Linked DNA regions of Rhinolophus ferrumequinum. The protein of the gene in region 1 purifies or fractionates together with the protein of each later gene. This does not show direct contact. Links are inferred from orthologs where the notes say so. Each region holds a gene or a part of one and is shown in the gene's direction. Other genes may lie near its edges.

Evidence for each region.
Region 2: the proteins of PGRMC1 (region 1) and DUSP9 purify together in Homo sapiens (affinity purification with mass spectrometry; 3 studies listed by BioGRID). This does not show direct contact. The link is inferred for Rhinolophus ferrumequinum from reciprocal best matches to the Homo sapiens genes PGRMC1 and DUSP9.

The regions. Positions count from the first base shown.
Region 1 is NC_046284.1:37,650,949-37,660,394, reverse strand, and holds the start of PGRMC1 (membrane-associated progesterone receptor component 1), read left to right. Parts: upstream 1-4,637; 5' UTR 4,638-4,737; coding exon 4,738-5,062; intron 5,063-8,523; coding exon 8,524-8,679; intron 8,680-9,446. UniProt on the Homo sapiens protein: Component of a progesterone-binding protein complex. Binds progesterone. Has many reported cellular functions (heme homeostasis, interaction with CYPs). Required for the maintenance of uterine histoarchitecture and normal female reproductive lifespan.
Region 2 is NC_046284.1:6,764,167-6,774,159, reverse strand, and holds the start of DUSP9 (dual specificity protein phosphatase 9), read left to right. Parts: upstream 1-5,345; 5' UTR 5,346-5,511; exon of another isoform or gene 5,512-5,521; intron 5,522-9,993. UniProt on the Homo sapiens protein: Inactivates MAP kinases. Has a specificity for the ERK family.

The DNA.
Region 1 (9,446 bases):
ACTTGAGAACTATCATTATGGACAAGACCTTTCCACCCAATATTCTGACATGAGCCAGACTGGTGGGATGCTTTTATTCAACAATCTCAACATCGCAGTGTTACCTAAGATCCCACTTTACTTAACATCAAGTCTGGTTTTAAAGCATTTATACAAGGTCTAACAATTAATTTCATAAACTCATCCCAGAAAAAGTGCTACATCACTCATTGCTGAATATCACTACAGTCACCTTCGACGTACTCCCCTTGGGAAGCTATGCAACAACACCAGCGCCTAGTCCACCCTTCAAAACAATTTTGGGACTCTTTTTCTGGAGTGGCCATCAGAGCTGTCATCGTATTATCCTTGATGTCCTGAATGTCATCAAAATGTCTTCCTTTCAATATTTCCTTATCTTCAGGTAAAGAAAAAAGTCATTGGGGGCCAGATCAGGTGAGTAGGGAGGGTGTACCAATACAGTTATTTGTTTACTGTCTAAAAACTCCCTCACAGATAGTGCCATGTGAGCTGGTGCATTGTCGTGATGCAAAAGCCATGAATTGTTGGCGAAAAGTTCAGGTCTTTTTCATCTAACTTTTTTATGCAGCCTTTTTAGCACTTCCAAATAGTAAACTTGGTTAACTGTTTGTCCAGTTGGTACTAATTCATAATGAAAATCCCTCCAATATTAAAAAATGTTAGCAACATTGTTTTGACTCTTGATTTGAACTGACGAAACTTTTTTGGTCGTGGAAAATTGTCTGATTTCCCTTGTGCACTTTGATGCTTTGTTTCAGGGTCCTATTGCTACACCAGTGATAACATGGCCCAAAACATCACCTTGCCTCACCAAAAGGTCTTGGCAAACTTTGACTCTCCTTTGCTTTTGTTCATCAGTGAGCTCCTTTGGGATCATTTTTGCACACACCTTTCTTATGCCAAGATTTTCAAGTAAGATTTTCCTGTTTCTCTATCGATGTTTCCGTAGTCTGCTATGCTTCTCACAGTCAGCTGACAATTTTGATAAACAATTCGATGATTTTTTGCTATGTTTTTGTCAGTTCTGTTCGTTACTGGCTGCCGTGACCTCTCTTCATCAGTGACTCATTTTCTCCCCTCAGAAAAACATTTAATCCATTGGTACACTGCTGTTTTCTTCATGGCATTATTCCCATAAACTTGGACTAATATGTCCCTGATTTCACTTCCACTCTTGCCAAGTTTAGCAAGAAATTTAATGTTTGTTCATTGTTCTAATTCAAGCTCAGACATTCTCGCAACAGCACACAAAAACACACAACAACAATAATGAACGCCACTCAGCAAGACACCGCCACACGTCAACACAAACACAGCTGCGAGACACTGACATACCAAAGTTATGAAACCTTACCGAGCTGTTTGTACAGTGCTGCCAATGTAAGCACACAGTGTCAAGTTTGCGAACTTAATTGTCAGATCTCGTACAAGAGCTATCATACAGTATTTGTCTCTGTCTGACATATCCCCCACTTTTAATAGTGGTTACCTTTGAGGAGAGAGAATCAGGGGTGGGGAAAGGGGCTTTAATTTACCTTTTGTATCTTCCCATAGTTTGAATTTTTTCACCTTAAATGAATATGACTTTTAAAAAATTCCAACAGGGGTTATCTGGGTGGGAGCTAATGGCTTATTCTTATTTTTTACTTTGTATCTCTTTATTAGAAAAAAACTGATGAATCATTTATTATTTTAAGTACAGCATAGGGAAGGTAGTCAATAATATTTTTATAACTATGTATGGTGCCAGATGGATACTAGGCTTATTGGGTGGACCACATTAGAAGTTATATAAATGTCTAACCACTAAGATATATACCTGAAACGAATATAATACTGAATGTCAACTGTAATTTAAAAATACAAATAAAGAATTCCCCAGTTTTATAAGTAAAAATCTGTGTGTGTGTGTGTGTGTGTGTGTGTGTGTGTGTGTCTGTGTCTGTGTTTCATATGTCTACAGGAATATAAACCAAACTGCTAATGTGCAGGCCGGATCTAAAGATTGTTTGGAGAGTTGGGAGAGGGAGATGAGTTTCATTTTTTACTTTATACACGTACATATAAAGTTTGTTATAGTAAACATGTATTACCATTCTACATTTTTTTTCAGAAAAGGAATAATAAACCATTTTCCTCCCCGAAGTTAAAAGGGCATGTGCTTATTGTGGAAAATGTGGAAAAGAATAAAGAAGGAAGTAACAATCCCAACAGTTAACATTTTAGCATGTTTCCTTTCGTGCTACCGCTTACTCATTTTTTGTGGGGTTTTTTTTACATAGTTGAGTTCATACTGTATATAGTTTTGTATCCTGTTTTGCTGCTTAAGATTAAAACATAAATACACGTATTTTCCCATGTCATGATAATACTTGGATGACTGTATCATACACCATTTAATAGTTCTGTCACAATTGAATTCGACTAATTAGGTATTTCTTGAAATTGAACATTCATGTTATTTCCAGTTTTTCCATATTAAAAATGATTCTCTGATGAGCATCTCAGTAATAAAATTTTTGTCTGTATTTCTAAGTGTTCCCTTAGGATAGATTCCTAGAAGTGGAATTACTGGATGAAAGAGCAGACTTCTAGAGGTGGGATTAATTGATAGAAAATATTTTTATGGATAACAAAAGGTTATACCAATTTTTACTCCTCCCAACGGTATGACAAGAGTCTCACCACTCGCTTGCCAGCATTGTATACCATCCTTTTTTTTTGCTTTTATCTTTCTTATAGGAACGTTGAGCATGACAGCGGTATCTCCATTTTTTTCTTTTTTTTAATTGTTTTTTAAATTTATTGGGGTGACAATTGTTATTAAAATTACATAGATTTCAGGTGTGCAATTCTGTATCACATCATCTATAAATTACATTGTGTGTTCGCCACCCAGAGTCAGTTCTCCTTCCATCTCCATTTTTTATTGCTAGTGAGACTTAACACTTCTCATATACTTATCCACCATTAGTATCCCCTCCTCTGTGTACTACCTATTTCTATTTTTGCCCATTTATTATCTAGAGTCTTCTGGATTTTTCTTGTCAATTAAAATGAGGTCTTAAAAAATATCAACCCTTTGTCTATTATATTGGTTACAAATGAAAATATTTTTCACAAGTTTGTTGGTTTGTAAAACTGTCTTGGCCATACAATTTTTTAAAAAGATAATTAGATCCTAAGTACAGCTGATTTTGAGCCTGTTTTCCCTTGATTAAATTGAAGAAGTTTGACAAATGATCTAAAACGACCATTTCAGCTTATCGTAAATTTAGATCTGTGAAAAAAAATGCGTGGGCAGATTTAAAGATTGTTCAGCTCACATGCATTTTTAAAGGATTTAAGAAGATGGGATGGGGGCAGGGATGGAAGCTGTTTGTGCCAGAAATTTTCAGAATTCTGAAGTAAGAAGCCTGCTTGTTGGGAGGGGGAGTAAGTTATGTGCAAGCGAACAGAATTCCTCACGGAAAAGTACAGCTCTGGGCTGCAGATGTTGGCATGGCTTGGTTTTAATTATCCCCCCCCCCCACCACCTTTTCTTCGGCTCCCCTCCCCCTGCCACAATAAAGAGGCAGCCAGATTAAGACTCTAAAGGGTATAGACAGCCCTTCCTCCATAAGACCTGCTCCTGTGCAGCCGGCTAGCACACCAAAGGCTGGATGAAATACCTAGGAAAGAAAGGAACCAAATCTACTAGGATCCTTCCAAACTCCCGCCTTCGTCCGGGCTTCAGCACAGGGTTATTATGACTGCCAAGCGTCGTTCGATAGACTTCAAATAGAAAGCTGTCAAAGAAACTTTTCTCATTATTCTGAGAGGGAAAAAAAGCACAACAGAATGTTGCTTGCTGATGCGTTGGGACTGAGCAAATCAGTGATCGCAAAAGGATTTAGTTTTCTGAGAAAGAACCCATAGTAAATCGCGCAATCTGATCGTTTTCCCAGATTTGGGGGGGAGTTGTCAGATGGGGGCCTGTACACTGACTTTAGCTATCCCGGGGGTGTTCACCCCACAGCGTCTGGGGCGGGGGGAGATTGGAGAAGTGTCGTCATGAGAGCGAATAGGGGTTCCTCAGGTGAAAATGGGTAGGCTGGGTCTCAAAGGTGGAAAAAGGAGCTCGAGGAGTAAATTTCCTGTCTTCCAAGAAAGCCTGGAGGCCCTGGGGTATGGCCGGGGAAAGATGAGGCTTCGAAATTGAGGCGACGGAGAAGCCTGAAGCAAGAGAAATGGAGTCGGTGTTTGGTGGGCATGAAGTGACAGAGGGTCTCAGACAGAGCTTAGCAGAACCAAGGCTCTCCAAGGGGGTCTTTGCGCCAGGAGCAAGCGGGGTGCGGAGTAGGGCTACGCCCTGCGTCGCCGTGAGCCAGTTGGCGTGAGGATTACGTCTAGTGGGGACCTGGGCCAAGCAGGTGGAACTGAGGGGTGGACTCAGCGATCTCTCTGGCTGGAAGGCCGGATCTGGCTGGGGGAAGGGAGCTACGATCCACAGGAAGATGGGGGCCCTGGGCTGGGCGGGGCGGGACTCAGCCGGGCCGCGCGCAACAGCGGCTGCGGGAGAGGAGGGGCTGGAGGCTCCGCCCATTTTCCCCCGCCTCCTCCCCTGATTAGTCCTTGTCCGCAGATCCTCAGGCGTCACTAGCTCTCGGAGAGGGAGGAGAAAGCAGCGAGTTCCGGAGCCCTCCCCACCCAGCTCAAACCTTTGCTTCAGTGATCATGGCTGCCGAGGATGTGGTGGCGACGGGCGCTGACCCGAACGAGATGGAGGGCGGGCTGCTGAACGAGATTTTCATGTCGCCGCTCAACCTGCTGCTGCTCGGTCTCTGCATCTTCCTGCTTTACAAGATCGTGCGCGGGGACCAGCCGGCGGCCAGCAGCGACAGCGACGACGACGAGCCGCCCCCGCTGCCCCGCCTTAAGCGGCGCGACTTCACCCCTGCCGAGCTGCGGCGCTTTGACGGCGTCCAGGACCCGCGCATACTCATGGCCATCAACGGCAAGGTGTTCGATGTGACCAAAGGTCGCAAGTTCTACGGGCCCGGTATGGCGGCCCGCCCTGGGGACGCGGAGACAAAGGAAGGGGCCCCGGCACGGGGCAAAATCCGGGAGGGTTGAGGGGGGAGCAGAGCGTCCCCGGGGGGAAGAATGGCGACGAGCCAGTGAGGGCGGGCAGGCGGTGATGGCCCGACGGCTCCCACCGCGGGCAAGGGACGCTCTAGAAGGGTTGCGGGCCAGTGGGAGACGCAGATTCCCGGCCTCGCGCCGCTAACGCGGGGATAAGGGGTGGAGAGTCTGATGCCCTTAAGCCGGGGTGGGTGGATAAAATCGCGAGTCTGGAAACGTTTAGGGGGCACAGCAGAACGCAGTGTTGGGGGATTTTCGAAGGTATTAGGTTTGAGGTTGCCTGAAAGGAGGGTGCGGTGTTGGGCTGAAGAAAGGAAATGTGGGTGTCTTGAGGGAGGCATGGGTGGAGGTCTGGAGGAGGGAGATCCAGCCTTGGAGAGGACGTGAAGGCCGATGACGCCAGGAGTAGCCTTGGTCGGATGTGAGGGTGTGGGAGAAGGGATTACCAGCAGGTAGACGCATCGTGCGTGGGGGTGAATGATGTGAGTGTGCGCTCTGTGTGCATTGTCAGTGTATGTGGCTTGTCGGGCAGTGTGTGCGTGCGCGCGTGCTTGGAGTGTGGCATGTGTCAGGTATGTGTGTGGCATGTGTGTGCGCGCGCTGTGTGTGGCGGACTGGGAAAAGATGGAAGTTGAACAAGGGAGGTTCCGTAGGAGGAAGGGAGCTGGTTGAAGGAGGAATAAAGGCTGGATGTGGTGGACAATGGGAATGTAGCAACATGAGGAGGTAATATAGTAGTTTAAACTACATCAGGAGAGAAAGGACTAGAAGCCAAAAAAAAAATTAAAATGGAGGGAGGGAGAAGTGGGAGGATCCTGAGAAACAAAAGGGGTAGGACTCTGAAGGCTGCTGGGTGTGGGGATTCAGGATAATGAAATGAGGGGTGGATGGATGACTGCTGAGCTGTTGGAGGAGGCAGGCTTGAAGGTGCCTTAGTGATGTGGCTTTTTTTTAAGCCTGGTTGGATCAGAATCACCTGATGCAAATGAGTTAACCTACTGACTCTGGCCTAATCACCTTAACAACGGAAGAGTCTCTGGGGGAGATCACCTGGAATCTGCACTTTTAACATGCTTCCCCAGGCCAGGTTTGGAAAGCTCTGCTTTAAAGAGTATTTGCAGAGGAGGTGGAAGACATTTTATTTTAACTCCTCCAATATGGACTCTTCTAAAATCAGGGAGCTCAGGGAACGTTTCCACATTGACAGCGTTCTCTTCCCTGCTGCTCTGGAAGAGTATAGAAGGCAGCAATCTGGCCATTCCCACTTCTGCTTTGTCTTAGTCTCCCAGTCTGACTCAAAAAAATCAGATATGTTAAAATTTTTAAGGATCTCTCACTTAGCAGTTTTTCCTTGTGGATCATTTAATAGACCTACTTAATGCAGACATGTAACTGTCAAAATAATTTAAAAACCACACCTGTATTGTCACTTACAGCGGCACACCTAGAGGCATTATCAATAAACATAATCGTGTAAATACCTGTTATTACTGAGCTATATCATAAAGTTGTCAAAACACATGCATGAGGCATCATCATATGATTGTAGTTTGCAAAGTCATTGAGAGGAATGTAGGCCTGTGCACAGAGCACAAAACTGGGAGTCAGGCAACCTGGGTTCTAGCCCTTGTTGGATCATTGACTAGCTGTGTGACCCAGTGCAAAGCATTGTTCTCTGTGGGCCTTACCGTGTTTCCCCAAAAAAAAGGACCTAGCCAGACCATCAGTTCTAATGTGTCTTTTGGAGCAAAAATTAGTATAAGACTTGGTCTTATATTAATAAAATAAGACCGGGTATATAATACAATATAATATAATACCGGGTCTTATATTAATTTTTGCTCCAAAGGACATAGTAGAGCTGATGGTCCGGCTAGGTCTTATTTTCGGGGAAACACAGTAGTTGTCCCTCTTTAAAATCATAAGGATGGCCCACTCTTAGTCTCTCCCCTGCACTATAAGCCCGTGATACCATGAATGTATGACATCATGTGGAAAGGATACTTCATGTTACAAAGGATTCCTAAGAATTATACATTTGAGTGCCTATTCTATGCGTGGCACTTTTGTAGGTGCTGGGGCTATGGCAGTGAACAACAACAAAAAACAAATCTCGGCTCATGGAGTTTACATTCCATGGAGTGAATATTCTGGTGATAACATTTAAAAGTTGATCTTAAAGTTAATCTAATTTGAAAAAAGCCTGGTGGATTGAGGTTGCAGGTGACCAGGCCATATTGAAACTTGACCCATTTTCATACTTGACATAGTGGTTACCTACAAACTTTTTAATGTCAGGGTTGCTACTCAGTCAGCCTTTGGGGAAACACACATTGTTTAAAGTACACTGGATTCTTTTTATGTATTTGTGCAATATTTAAATAAGTATAAACATCCACTTTAAGTACCTACAGAATAAGTCACTGCTCTCTTAGACAAAAGTTCAGTATAATATATGTAATAGCATTCTAATGTTTTATAGAATTAGTTTGGGATATTGATTGAGCCTTTATTTCCCATGATAGTTTTAGGATTTTTAGTCTTCTGTTCTTCAAGGCCACCAAAAACAGTGATAGAGCTGATCTCTGTGCTATCTCTTTATTGACAGTGAAGATTATGTAACATGTGGATAGATTTCTAATACTCTTATAAAATGATTTCTCCTGCAGGTGCCACATGTTAATGTTTAATACAGTCTCACAACCAAAAATCTCTATACGATATGTTTGACTCATTAAAACATATTAGAATGCATTTAGTTCATTTACTAAAACCTTAGTGTTTATTATCTTAAGAAACCATAACTTTCCCTGGTGTAGCCCAGGTGCCCAGAACAGAGCCAGGCTTTGGGTTCAATGTCCTAAAACTGAATTCTGACCTGTGGACCCATTATTACCTGGATGGGTGCAATAGTCTTTTATGGCCTTTTTATTAGCTATTTGAAAATCACAGGAAATTAATTATAATGTATAACATTTTGATTTAGTTTTAGTTATTTAAAAGTTTGGTTTTTTTTAATTTATTGGGGTGACAATTGTTAGCAAAATTACATAGATTTCAGGTGCACAATTCTGCACCACATCATCCATAAATCACACCGTGTGTTCACCACCCAGAGTCAGCTCTCCCTCCATCACCATATATTTGATCCCCCTTACCCTCATCTCCCACTAAAAGTTTAATAACAACAGATCTTTTACTATCCACTACATAATGATTAAAGTATCAACATCACTTACGTTTTCCAAATGGAATTGGGTATTCCAAAAGAGGGCTTTCTATGTTGATGGGTAAGGAAGCCATTTTCTGTGCATGAACAACAGAGAACTTGACTGTCTAATAAAGAATTGGTCTTTGGTTTTGTTTTGTCTTTAAAAGAGGGGCCGTATGGAGTCTTTGCGGGAAGAGATGCATCCAGGGGCCTCGCCACATTTTGCCTGGATAAGGAAGCCCTGAAGGATGAGTACGATGACCTTTCTGACCTCACTCCTGCCCAGCAGGAGACCCTGAGTGACTGGGACTCTCAGTTCACTTGTAAGCATTTTTTAAAATTGTGTCTAGATCAAATTGTGACCAGTAATGGGATTCACGGCAGTCCAATAGTTATTACCAAACAGCCTGAAACTTGGGAGCACTTTCATTGGCTTCTGAATCTTAGACAGATCAAGTTCATGGTTTGAAATAGTTGCAGAAGTGCTGAGTCACTTGCCATGACTGCATACCAATTTTTAGCTCATCCTCTATGAAAACTTGGATTTGAGAGGTTTGCATAGATTCCACACTAGGATTTGGTGCTTGGTGCAAGGGGGAAAGAGAGCAGCCATTTTAGCTACAGAAAAGGGTTGTCATAAGTCCTTACTTGTAGAACTTGCCGTTTATAAGCAGCCCACATTTTTGTTGAAGAATGGGAGACTTGTATTCTACAGAACAGCTTCTCTGAATTTAATTGAGCCTAACTATAGACTTCATCTACAAATGATGCTTATAATCTTCCCAGCAACAATGGTGTCTGCATTTTTAAAAAGAGAAAAAAGAAACACTTGTTTCCTGCCGTCTGCTATGGGCTGAGGTTAATTTCAAAGTCTGAGGAACTGGCTTTTGTCAAACCCAAGTGTTTATCCCTTTAGCAATATTTCATTGCTAAGAATTTGAATGATAATCTTTCCCGGCTTTGAAATAGTATATAAAAACCACGATCATTTCTTTAAGGAAGATTTTTCATTCAAAATGTGGTTTTCTGTTCCCTATAATCAGTTAAATATTACTTTTGGGTAAATTCAACCATTTTCCTTGAAATTAAC
Region 2 (9,993 bases), about 31 Mb from region 1:
CTGGGTGTCATGATGAGGCAGGAGACAGTGGGAAGTTGACTGGCCACAGTGCCCAGGCACACAGGGGACTGAGAACCTACAGTCATATACAAGCAGGACAGTGACGACCCATGCAAGGGGCTCAACGACTCATCACAGCCCCTCACTAGGAGGTCCAGCATGGAGAGGCCGTGGCTGTCCCCTTCCCACTGGTGGGTGGAGTCTCTGGAGGGGATGCAATCGATCCCTCTGGCTTCACCTCCCCCTCCCTCTTCTGGCCCTCCCTCGGCCCAGGGGCTGGCCCCCGAGGGACAGCTGGTCACGTGGCTCCAAATCTGAATCTGTGAGCTGGGTGCTCTCAAGATGCAAATGAGTCACCAATGTGGGAAGCAGGTACTGCAGCGGCTGCGGGGTAATAGCTACTCTAAATTTAGATGGAAAATCCCCACAGAGTTGGCAGAAATATCCCAAGCCTTCCTGGTGGCAAGCCTCTCAAGCAGGAAAGTGGGAAGGGGGCAGCAAGAGCTAGGGGGCTGCACAGAGGATGGGGGCTGGGCCAAGAGAAGGCTCTCATCTGAGCTGAGGCACCCCTGCTGTAGGGGCCCATCTGTCACCCTGCAGCCACCGCCTAGGACCCCACCCTGGCGGGGTTGGCCTGGACTCAAAGGTGGACCAGGCCCTCTCCGCAGTTGATTCTTTGCCGATTCGGACTGTGCGGACAGCTCATCAGGGCCCCTCTTACAACCAGGAGCTGCCTCCTTCCTTGCTGTGACTGGGTCGCTGGCCCCTGTCCTGCCTGCCCCCAAGCCTACAAGAAACAATGACCCGGAGCAGACCCAAGCTCCCAAGGGCAGAGGCAGTCCCCTCTATGGAGGCTGACGCCTGGCTGGAGTCCTCAACCTCGTCTCGCTGTGCCTCACTTTGTTCGTCTAGAACGTTCATCCAGAGCTGCCAGGATGGTTTGGTAGCACCTGTGCGTATCAATCTCATTCCCAGCACGGTGACCCAGAACTACTGTTCTCATTATCTAAGGGTTCTGGGATGGGGCCTTCCCCGCAAGCCAGGAGTGCCCCGCCTGAGTCTCTCGTCTGGTGGCCAAGCAGCTCCGTGAGCTGGCCCTCCGCAGCACCCTTCTGAAGCCTGGGCCCCAGAGGCCCAGCCACAGGACCTGCTTTGTCACTCTCTGATTCCTGCCCTACTCATCTGATTCCTGCAGATGACAAGGTGGTCCCTGTCATCTGCAGCTCTGGGTTCTGGCTCTAACTTCACCAACGAGGCTGTAGGGCCTTAGACAAGTCATTGCCTTGGGGGCTTAGCTCCCTCCTGCCTTCATTTATTTCAGTCACTGTGAGAAACTCACTAGGGCTTCCAGGTCCAGGGCTGGCGGCAAAGAGATGGTCCCAGACCAGACCAGGGGGTGATGGCTCCAGGGGTGCCAGGAGAGATGCAGAGAGGTGCTGGTGCACCCTGACCCCGGGACAGTACGTGACACAGCCTGGCTTTGGGCCTTGGTCTGGGTGCAAGGAACCAAAGGAGGCCCAGGCTGGGCCTTGCAGTGTTGGGAGGGGCCAGAGGAGTGGTGGGGGGATGCAGCCAGACAGGGTCCTTAGTACTGTGACAGAGCGGGAGCAGACCCTTGAGGAACAAGGTAAGAAAAACCCAAAGCATCCCCAGAAGCCCCCTCCCCCCTCCTCTCGCAGACATCTGAGCCAGTGCAAGGGGTCAGAATGAGCCCCAGCCTGCGCTGGACTCACTGCCTGTTTCATATATTATCTTCTTTCCCGTGATGAGATGGCCTCACTCGAGAGGCACATTCCTGGAGGTGGGGGGGGGGGGAATGAGAGATGTTGCCAGAAAGGCAGGTAAGCCACTCATAGAGGTCTTCCTCAAAGTGACTGGCGGGTCGCAGCAGTTTGGTCCTTCCACCCTCAGTGGCTCCCCTCTCTCCTGGCCCCATTCAGCCCTCAACTTCCCTTGAACAAGCCAGGAAGTCATCTGCTTCCCTCTCTCCTACCCTTCCACCGAGTGGGGGCTGGAAGGGCTCCCAACTCTCCCCCCTCTTCCCTCTCACCTCCTTTTGCCTGTCCAGCCAATGGGTGTGGGCGTCTGGCTCTCTCCCAGCACAAGGATTATATCATCTGTAATGTATATCCAGACACACACGCCGCTGCTTGGGAGGACAGGAGAAGGGGAAGGAGCCAACACAGCTGGCCGGAGGGGGTTTATAACCAGGTTATTGAACCTGAACCTGAGCCCTCCCGGAATGGGGGTGTTAATGGCTCCTGAGAACCTGGCCCCTCAGAAATCAATCTCAGCACAGGCGGGCTCTCTCGAACTCCCCTCCCTCCTGCTCTAGCCTGGGGCTGCCTCACCCTTTCACCTCAGCTGCAAGTGCAGATCTGGGAGCCGTCACCAGGGCCATTTGATTTCAAATGTCCGGATGTAGCCCCACTGGGAACTGCAGCAAACAGGTTGGGTGCCCTGGAACAGGGTCTAGAATGTGCTTCTGAAGGTATGGCAACTGGTATCACGTCTAGAAGATGCTGGCTAAGGTGCCTCTGATGGGGGAGGAGAGACTGAAGCCTGTTATCCAGTGGTGGCCTGGGGGGAGCGGTTGTCAGGTGAGCAAATGGCTTCAGCTGTAGGTATTGCTCTCAGTAGGACCAAATGGTTGCCCAGAAATAAAGCCTTGTGCATGTACCCAAGTGCCAGCGTCCCTCAGATGGGAGCAGGGTCTCTAAGCAGGGGCCAGATGGGGTGGGCCTCTCCTCAAACCTCCACTTACTTGTAAAGTAGCCCAGAATTGAGACCTGGAAAAGGTGAACAGAGCAGGTACAGGTGCCTTCAGCCAAAGGCCCAGTCTGTCAAAGCAGGGCCAGCAATACGCATGGCCAGGCTGAAGACCTCTCCATCCCAAGCAAGGCCCAGCTTTCTGCCCCTCCACCTTGCCAAGGGCCGGCAGTTCCTGGTCCCCCGCTGAGAGCCTTGGGCTTCTGGTGAGAAAAGGGGCATGGCCAGAGAGGAGAGAGTGAGGGCTAGAGCTGCCCAGTCACCCCACCCTCAGATAGGACCTGAACACACGGGCGTGGCTTCCAAGATGGAGGCCAGCTGTGCCTTTAGAACAACCTGGATTCCGACATGGTTGGCTTCGTACTCAAGTCCTCTTCAAGAACATTCTCCATTTTATTCTTCAACAGGGCACAGGCCAGGCCTTGCTGGCCAAGACAGGTCTCCGGGGGTGAGGAGGGAGGTCCCATTTTCTGAGGCAGAGCAGGCCTGTGCCTTCAGAGCTCCTGGGCCTGGCCTGGCCATTGTATTAGCCTTCTTCTCTTCCAGTCTGGTGAGTCTTGTTGCCTGGAGAGCACAGGCACTGTGGGAGGGTAGGATGGGTGTTTTGCAGGGGTGGGGGGCACCATCAATCAATCCAAATGTTCCTCCTCCAGCCCTTCAGCCCTGAGTCACTAAAGCGCAGGATGGGGGGGAGGGAGGGAGTTGGTTATCCAATCTTTCCAGAAACTTCTCTGTGAGTCAGCTCACCAAGCCTTTGCCAGGGGCCAACTGAGTGCCCAGGCCATGGGCACAGCCACCATGGTCTTCCCCAAATGGGAGGACCACCAACGGGTGACAGCTGGCCCCATCTTTTTCAGTCTCCATGTATTTTCATGTTTTGGCTGACAAAATGGCCCTATTGCTATATGGCACAGAGTTTAGCGTATGTTGATTTCTTAGCAAAGGCCCCTAAATTTCAGGACAACCGGCAGGGCTATCAGAGAAGCACAGCGTCCAGCGGGAGGTCCTGCACACAGTTCTGTCTGCTCACCCATGTGGTGGAGGTTGCACAGTTCTGCTCCACACTGGATCCCTAATGCTGAAGGAAAGGAGAAAGGACAGCCCAGCCCCAGGAAGCACCCTGGGCCTGCCTGGCAGATGCACCTACCAGCAGGTGCAGCCCAGAAAGGGCCTGAGTGGTCATCTGCTGAGGCTGGAAGGGGCCAAAGGGCAGGGCGGGCATGCAGCCTGGTGGCAGCAGGACCCTGTCCCAGCTCACACATAATGGATTAAAACCGCCCTGAAGCTAGGAGGGCCCTTGGAAATCAAGAGGTCCTCCTTTCTACCCAAATGTACAGATGAGGAAACTGAGGCACCAAAGACAAAGCTGTCTGCCTCCTCTCTCTTCCAGAGGTAATGACTCAGGGGAATTCAGCACTGTCGCAGACATGAGCCAGGCGGCCAGGCCTCCCTTGGCTGCCCCTCATCCATGGAGTGGCTGGCATCCCAGTTCTGCCAGCCTCCTTAAAGATGTCATCCCATCCTGTCCTTGCCTCATTCTGATCTCCCTGGGCTGAGAAGGGAACCCCCTGCCAGAAGCCAGCCCACAGCCTCATGCTGGTTCTCAGCATCCCTCATGTCTCGTTCCAGGGCTGAGCCCCAGCTCACCTGACTACTGGCCTGGGAGCCCCTGTGTGCTCCCCCCTGCCTCCCTCCCTGCCTCCCCCTCCCCACAGCGGTGAGCAATCTGGGAACCGGTGGGCCTTCTTGTTCACACTCAGCTGAGGCTTGGGGAACTCAGCCCATCTCAGCCCACTGGGGCTCTGCCACGACATTATTGCCTGACCACCAGGAAACCACTGCCTTGGTTTCCTTAGCTATGGCATGGGAATAGTCTCCTCTGACTCCCAGACTGGTGCAAAAGCAAAAGGAGTTCCTTGATGGGGGATGCCTGTGGCCTTCCGTGCAGAGGAAAGCACACTGGGCCTCCTGACAACACCCCCTTCCAACCCCTCCCCCAAAGTCCTGGCTCCACCCCTTCCAGGCACCGAAGCTCAAGCGATATTACTATTAGCCAGAATCTGATACGTGAGATTGGGAGAGGACAGTGCAGGGGAGCCTGAGGGTTGGGGGCGCTTGCAGTGTAGTCAGCTGGACCTTAAGCCCTCACCCCTGCGGCTGCAGGAAGTGGCCCTGGTGGCCAATCTGTGCCCGGTCCTCGATGGGCCCCTTCAGTTCTCTTGCAGAAAGCAGGGGTGCCAGTGGAGACTCTTCGGTGCAACCCTCCCCCAGCCTAGGCCCAGGCCTAGGTCAGGGCACCCCACCCCATTCCTGTTCCCCAAGCTCGTGGCCCCCACGCAGCAGGGCTGTTGGGGGGCATCCAGACAGGGGCCTGGGTGGGCAGAGCGAGCAAAGGCTTTCAGGTGGGTGGAAGGCGGGCAGGGGCGGGGGAGGTGGAGGGAGACGCCGGGCAGGCTGCGGCCCCTCCCCGCTCCCTCCCTGCGCGCCGCCGGCGACGGTGCCCCTCCTGGGCAGGGGGCGGAGAAGACGGCGACGGGAGGGGAGGAGGCGGCGGCGGAGGCGGGATTTGGAGTTTCCCTCCGCTGCGGCGGCGGCGGCAGCCCCTCGGCTCTAGGCGAGGCCGCCGCCCGAGGCTCCGGTGGCGGTCGGCGGCAGTGGCGGTGGCGCTTCCCGCCGCCCCGGCTTTGGAAACTTCCCGGCCGCCACGCGCGGAGCCGGCGCAGGAAGCCGAGCGGAACGGAGGTGAGCAGAGGTGAGCGGAGCACGCGGCGCCAGAGCACCCACCCCCACCCCACCCCACCCCCACCCCCACCCGGCCTGGCCGCCCTCCGACGTGCGCTCCTCCACCCTGCACCCCCAAAGTCTTGCCAACGCACACCCCACGGGGCCGACGCACGCGCCCCTGTGAGACACACTCGGTCCTGCCACCGCACACCCCCTGCATCCCGACCGTTGCACCTCCGGTGTCGTCCACCACGCACACCCCCTGCCACTTACACTCCCGAACACAAACCGTGCACCGTGGACCCAGGTCCCTGCAGTGCAAATCCCAGTAGCCCGGAACCCACCACTGTCCCCAACTCAGGCCAGCACCCATCACAGACCCTGCCACGCCTCAGTACACACCCCGGTTCACACATACTCCCAATACATCCCTGCACTCTCAGCACTAACCTAGCTCCCCTCGGTGCCCCCACCATCTCCGACTCCCCATATGCTCATTACAGACACCCCACCCACGTTCCCAGCCCAGAGACATTGCAATCCACCCACCCCCAAGCGAAGCCCCAACACTACCCCACACCACAGAGGCTGACACTCCCCAGCTCGCACTCTCAGGCACCCCAACATGTATGCACACCTGCTGGATCCTCTCTCTCCAGCACCCAGCCCCGCCCCCATCGCAAATAGCCTTCAACAGCCCCCAGAACATCCCCGAGTCCCTCCCACCAGCACCCCCAACACCTGGCACGCGGGCTCTAGAGGCTGCAGCATTTGGTGACATCCCTGCCAGGCGCCTCTGGCTCGCCTTGGGCAGCAGCTTGCCATCCTGAGGGGCCCCAGGTGCCTCCCTAAACAGACCTTGAGTCTCCCCAGCGACTGGCTTGGTCTCTTCCCTAAGATAAAGAAGGCACTTAGGGCACAAGGTACCGTACTTAGATGTCGGGGCACCGGGAGTGGGGGTGAGGAGGAGGCAGAGAGGCAGGCACTTAGATGGAGGCGGCAGCACATAGTAGGTCGGTGCCACGAGGACAGGAGTTCACCCAGTGTGTGTGCCAGTCTGCGTGTGTGTTGGGAGGAGAGCTGTGTGTGCACGTGTGCTTGTGCATGTCTGGGGGGAGTGTGTGACCCGCTGAGAGAAAAAGCAGGAGCAGCACCCTCATGGGCTCCCTCGTGCAACAATTGGTTTCATTCATTCATGCCTTCTTTGTTAACGAGCATTTCTTCCGTGAGCGCCCGGCTGGTGCCAGGCCCTGCACTGGGAGCTGAGGCCAGCTTGGGGCCGGGCACACACCCGCTCCTGCCTTGGAGGAACTCCCAGTCCCGCGAGGAGACCGACCAGGAAAAGCAGAAAGCCATCCCCAGCAGAAAGTGGATTTGGTGGAAAAGACACTGGATTTGGCAGGAACGCTGTCGCTGGGAGTTGTGCTCCCGACCATGTGACCTGGCCGCGACAGCCGAAATCCTGCCACTCGGCCCGGCGGGAACCGTGCATTTTGGAATGGGGGGGATGGAGGGAGAGGCGGGGCGCCCCTCTCCGAAGGCTCTGGGGACCAGAGGGCGCACGCGGCGCGCACCGGGCCTAACGGCGGCAACGTCCCCGTGTCCTCCCAGGGGCAGTGGCCTGGCCCAGCGGAAGCCAGGGGTGCCCTGCGTGGGCTGGGGCTGCGGGCGCAGCGCCCACCCTGCGGCGAGCGCGCGGCCTGGCTCCGCCCGCCGGAGGGAGCCTGGTGAGGCCCCAGCGCGCAGCCCGCCTTCCCCTCCCCAGCCCGCCCGGGAGTCGGGTGCGGGGAGGGGCCGGCGCCCCGAGCAGGCGCTGCCGAGGCCCGAGTGCGGAGCGGGCCTGGCGAGGGTCGGGGGAGGGGGCCTTGGCTGCGTTCAGCCCTGCAGTGCGGAGGTGGCAACAGGTTCCAGTTTGTACTGCTGCTAGCGCAGCGGGCGCTGCTGGCGCTGGGCACAGAACACTCGCTTTCCCCGCTGGAGGGCTTGCCAGCAGGGTTGGGAGAAAGGTGCAGGGGAGCCACTTTTCAGGCGTCGGGAGGCGAGGCCCGCACAACCCCACCCCGGAGGGGGGGGGGTTTCTTGGAGCCTAGCTTCCTCTCCCTTCACCACTGTAGAAGTTGCCTCCCTCCGCATCCTCATCTTCCCAGCCAGGCTCCCATCACCTCCTCCAGGAAGTCCTCTCCAGATAGCATGCCTGGGCCCCTGTGGAGTACCTACCTCCCTTGGGGTTGGTGGCCCTCTCTCCAACTATACTGAGCCCCCATTATATAGTGGGTAGGGGCATGTGTCTCTCCACTTCCCTATCAGACGGACTTTGCCACCCTCAGTGCCTACAACCTGGCCAAGCCAGGCACCCCAGGCTGGCACATTACAGATCACTTTAGTGCCTTCAACCCCTGGCCACTCCAGGGTCCCACTCACAGCTGCAGCAGGCCTGGAGGGAATCCCCAGGCTTGGGGCGCATGGCCAGGTGGCTGCCCACCTCTGCCTCTGGGAGTGAGGATGGAGGTATAGGAGACACTGGAAGACAGAGTCTCTGCCCCAGAGTACTCAGGACAGGGAAGTGGGCCCCACTTCCTCCCAAACTGCAGCTCTTGGGCATTGCAGTCTCAGAGAGCTGAGGTCTGGAGCGCAGAGGAGGGAGACAACAAGCTGGCCCAGGAGAGAAAGGCTGCCTGGAGGAGGGCACCTTGAGGGGGCCTGAAGGAGCAGTCTGGACAGGCTGCAGAGTAGGGAGGCCTGGCCTGGGCATAAAGGGGCACATACCAGCTGCCTCAGGCCCCTGGATGCTGGTGGTGGGACTCATCCCAGAGGCCAGGACGTAGTGGGCTATGGCCAGAGATGAAACCCAGGCTGGTGACCCACTGGGTCAGGGAGGGAGGGATGGGGTGAATGGAGGCCCCTTGAGGTAGCCTGGCTCTCCGCAGCATTGCCTCCTCATCTTACTCTGGTTCAGGAGAGGAGTCCTCAGTAGCCACATTGGGCTTAACTAGAATAAACTTAGGCCTTCCAGTGGCTTTGAGCCCTTTCACTCCTTAGTTACACGTCTTGGTGCCTGTCCTATGCATATAGCTCTGCCTTCTTTTACTTAGTTCCTTGGGGTAGATTCGCAGAAGTGGCCAGAGGGTGTGGATTTCTTCCTAGCTCTGGATGCATATTACCAAATTAGTTTCCAAAAGTGCCAATAGAGAATCCTCCAGCAACCAGCAGTGGAGCCGGTTTCACAGCACCCTTTGCCAGTACTGGATGTTCTCATTTTGAGAACATCTTTACTAATGTAATAGGTAGGAAGTGTTACTTTGTTTTCTGTTGTTCTTACCTTGCTTTTTGAATTTGCTTTCCTTCCATGCCTGAGGTTGAACCTTCCCCCAAACGTCTTGTACCGGTTGGGTTTCCCCCTCCATGCGGTCTGTTCTGGTTCCTTGCCCATTTATCTATCAGAGTCTTAACTTTTCGATTAACCTGTATGTGCTTTATCTTATCTTCTGTATATTTTCCTTCAGCTCTACAATTTGCTTTAGATGGGTTTTAAGCAGAGAAGGGACATAGACCAGACTTTTCAGAAATCTCCTCCACCTCGTTTCATTGTCTCGGTACTTACCACACCTGGTATTATCTTGTTCGGTCAGCTGTTTATTACGGACCTATCCTGCTAGTCTGGGAGCTCTGTGCAAGCAGAGACCCTGTGTGTCCTGCCCGTTCATCATACTGTGTCCATGGAAGGTATGGAGGCCAGCAGCCTTTGCCCAACGAGTGTTCTGGTGTAGGGCTGGACAGCTGGTGGTTGAGGTGGATAGGCCTGGAGAGCGCTTTGGAAGCTATGACCGTGACCTGGTCAAGAGCTGGCCGATGCAGGCAAGCCCTTGGCCATTGCAGGGGCAGAGGGGTGAGAGCATAGATGGGAGAGAAACTTCAGTAGAAACTACTTTGCTCTTGACTAGGCAGGAGGCAGAGGGAGAAGCCGAGGGGAGTCCCAGGATCAGTATTGTAAGAAGAGCAGAGCCCTGAGTTTGGGGCTGGGAGCTCAGAGCTCCTGGTGCCTTCGCTGAGGCCTGTGCAAATGAAGCCAGTGGGGGTGCCCAGAAGCTGCCCTCTGCCTGCCTAGCCCTCCAGCCAGCCTTGGGCAGAGTTCTGGGCCAGAAGGCAGCAGTGGCTTTCTGGTCCTGCTGCCTCTTTCACTGCACGATTTCAGTGGCATCCCACAGAGGCCCACGGTGGTGGCTATGATGCGCCTACCATATCCATGGGGCTACTGAACACCAGTCAGGGATATGATGGTTTCGGGTCACTCTGAGTAGGGTTTGAGGCAGGCTCTGGGGCAGGGGCACTGGGCTCTTGTCCCCACCCCTCCCCCTGCCTCCAGGGGCCTGACTGGCGCCGGCCAGGGGAGCTGTGGCTGGTCCCCTGCTGGGCCCCTGACCTGCCCTTGGCCTCTGCCCCGGCCCTGTCCCGCTTGGGTGGAAACCCCAGCTCAGCGCGCCACTTGCAGGGGGCCCACCC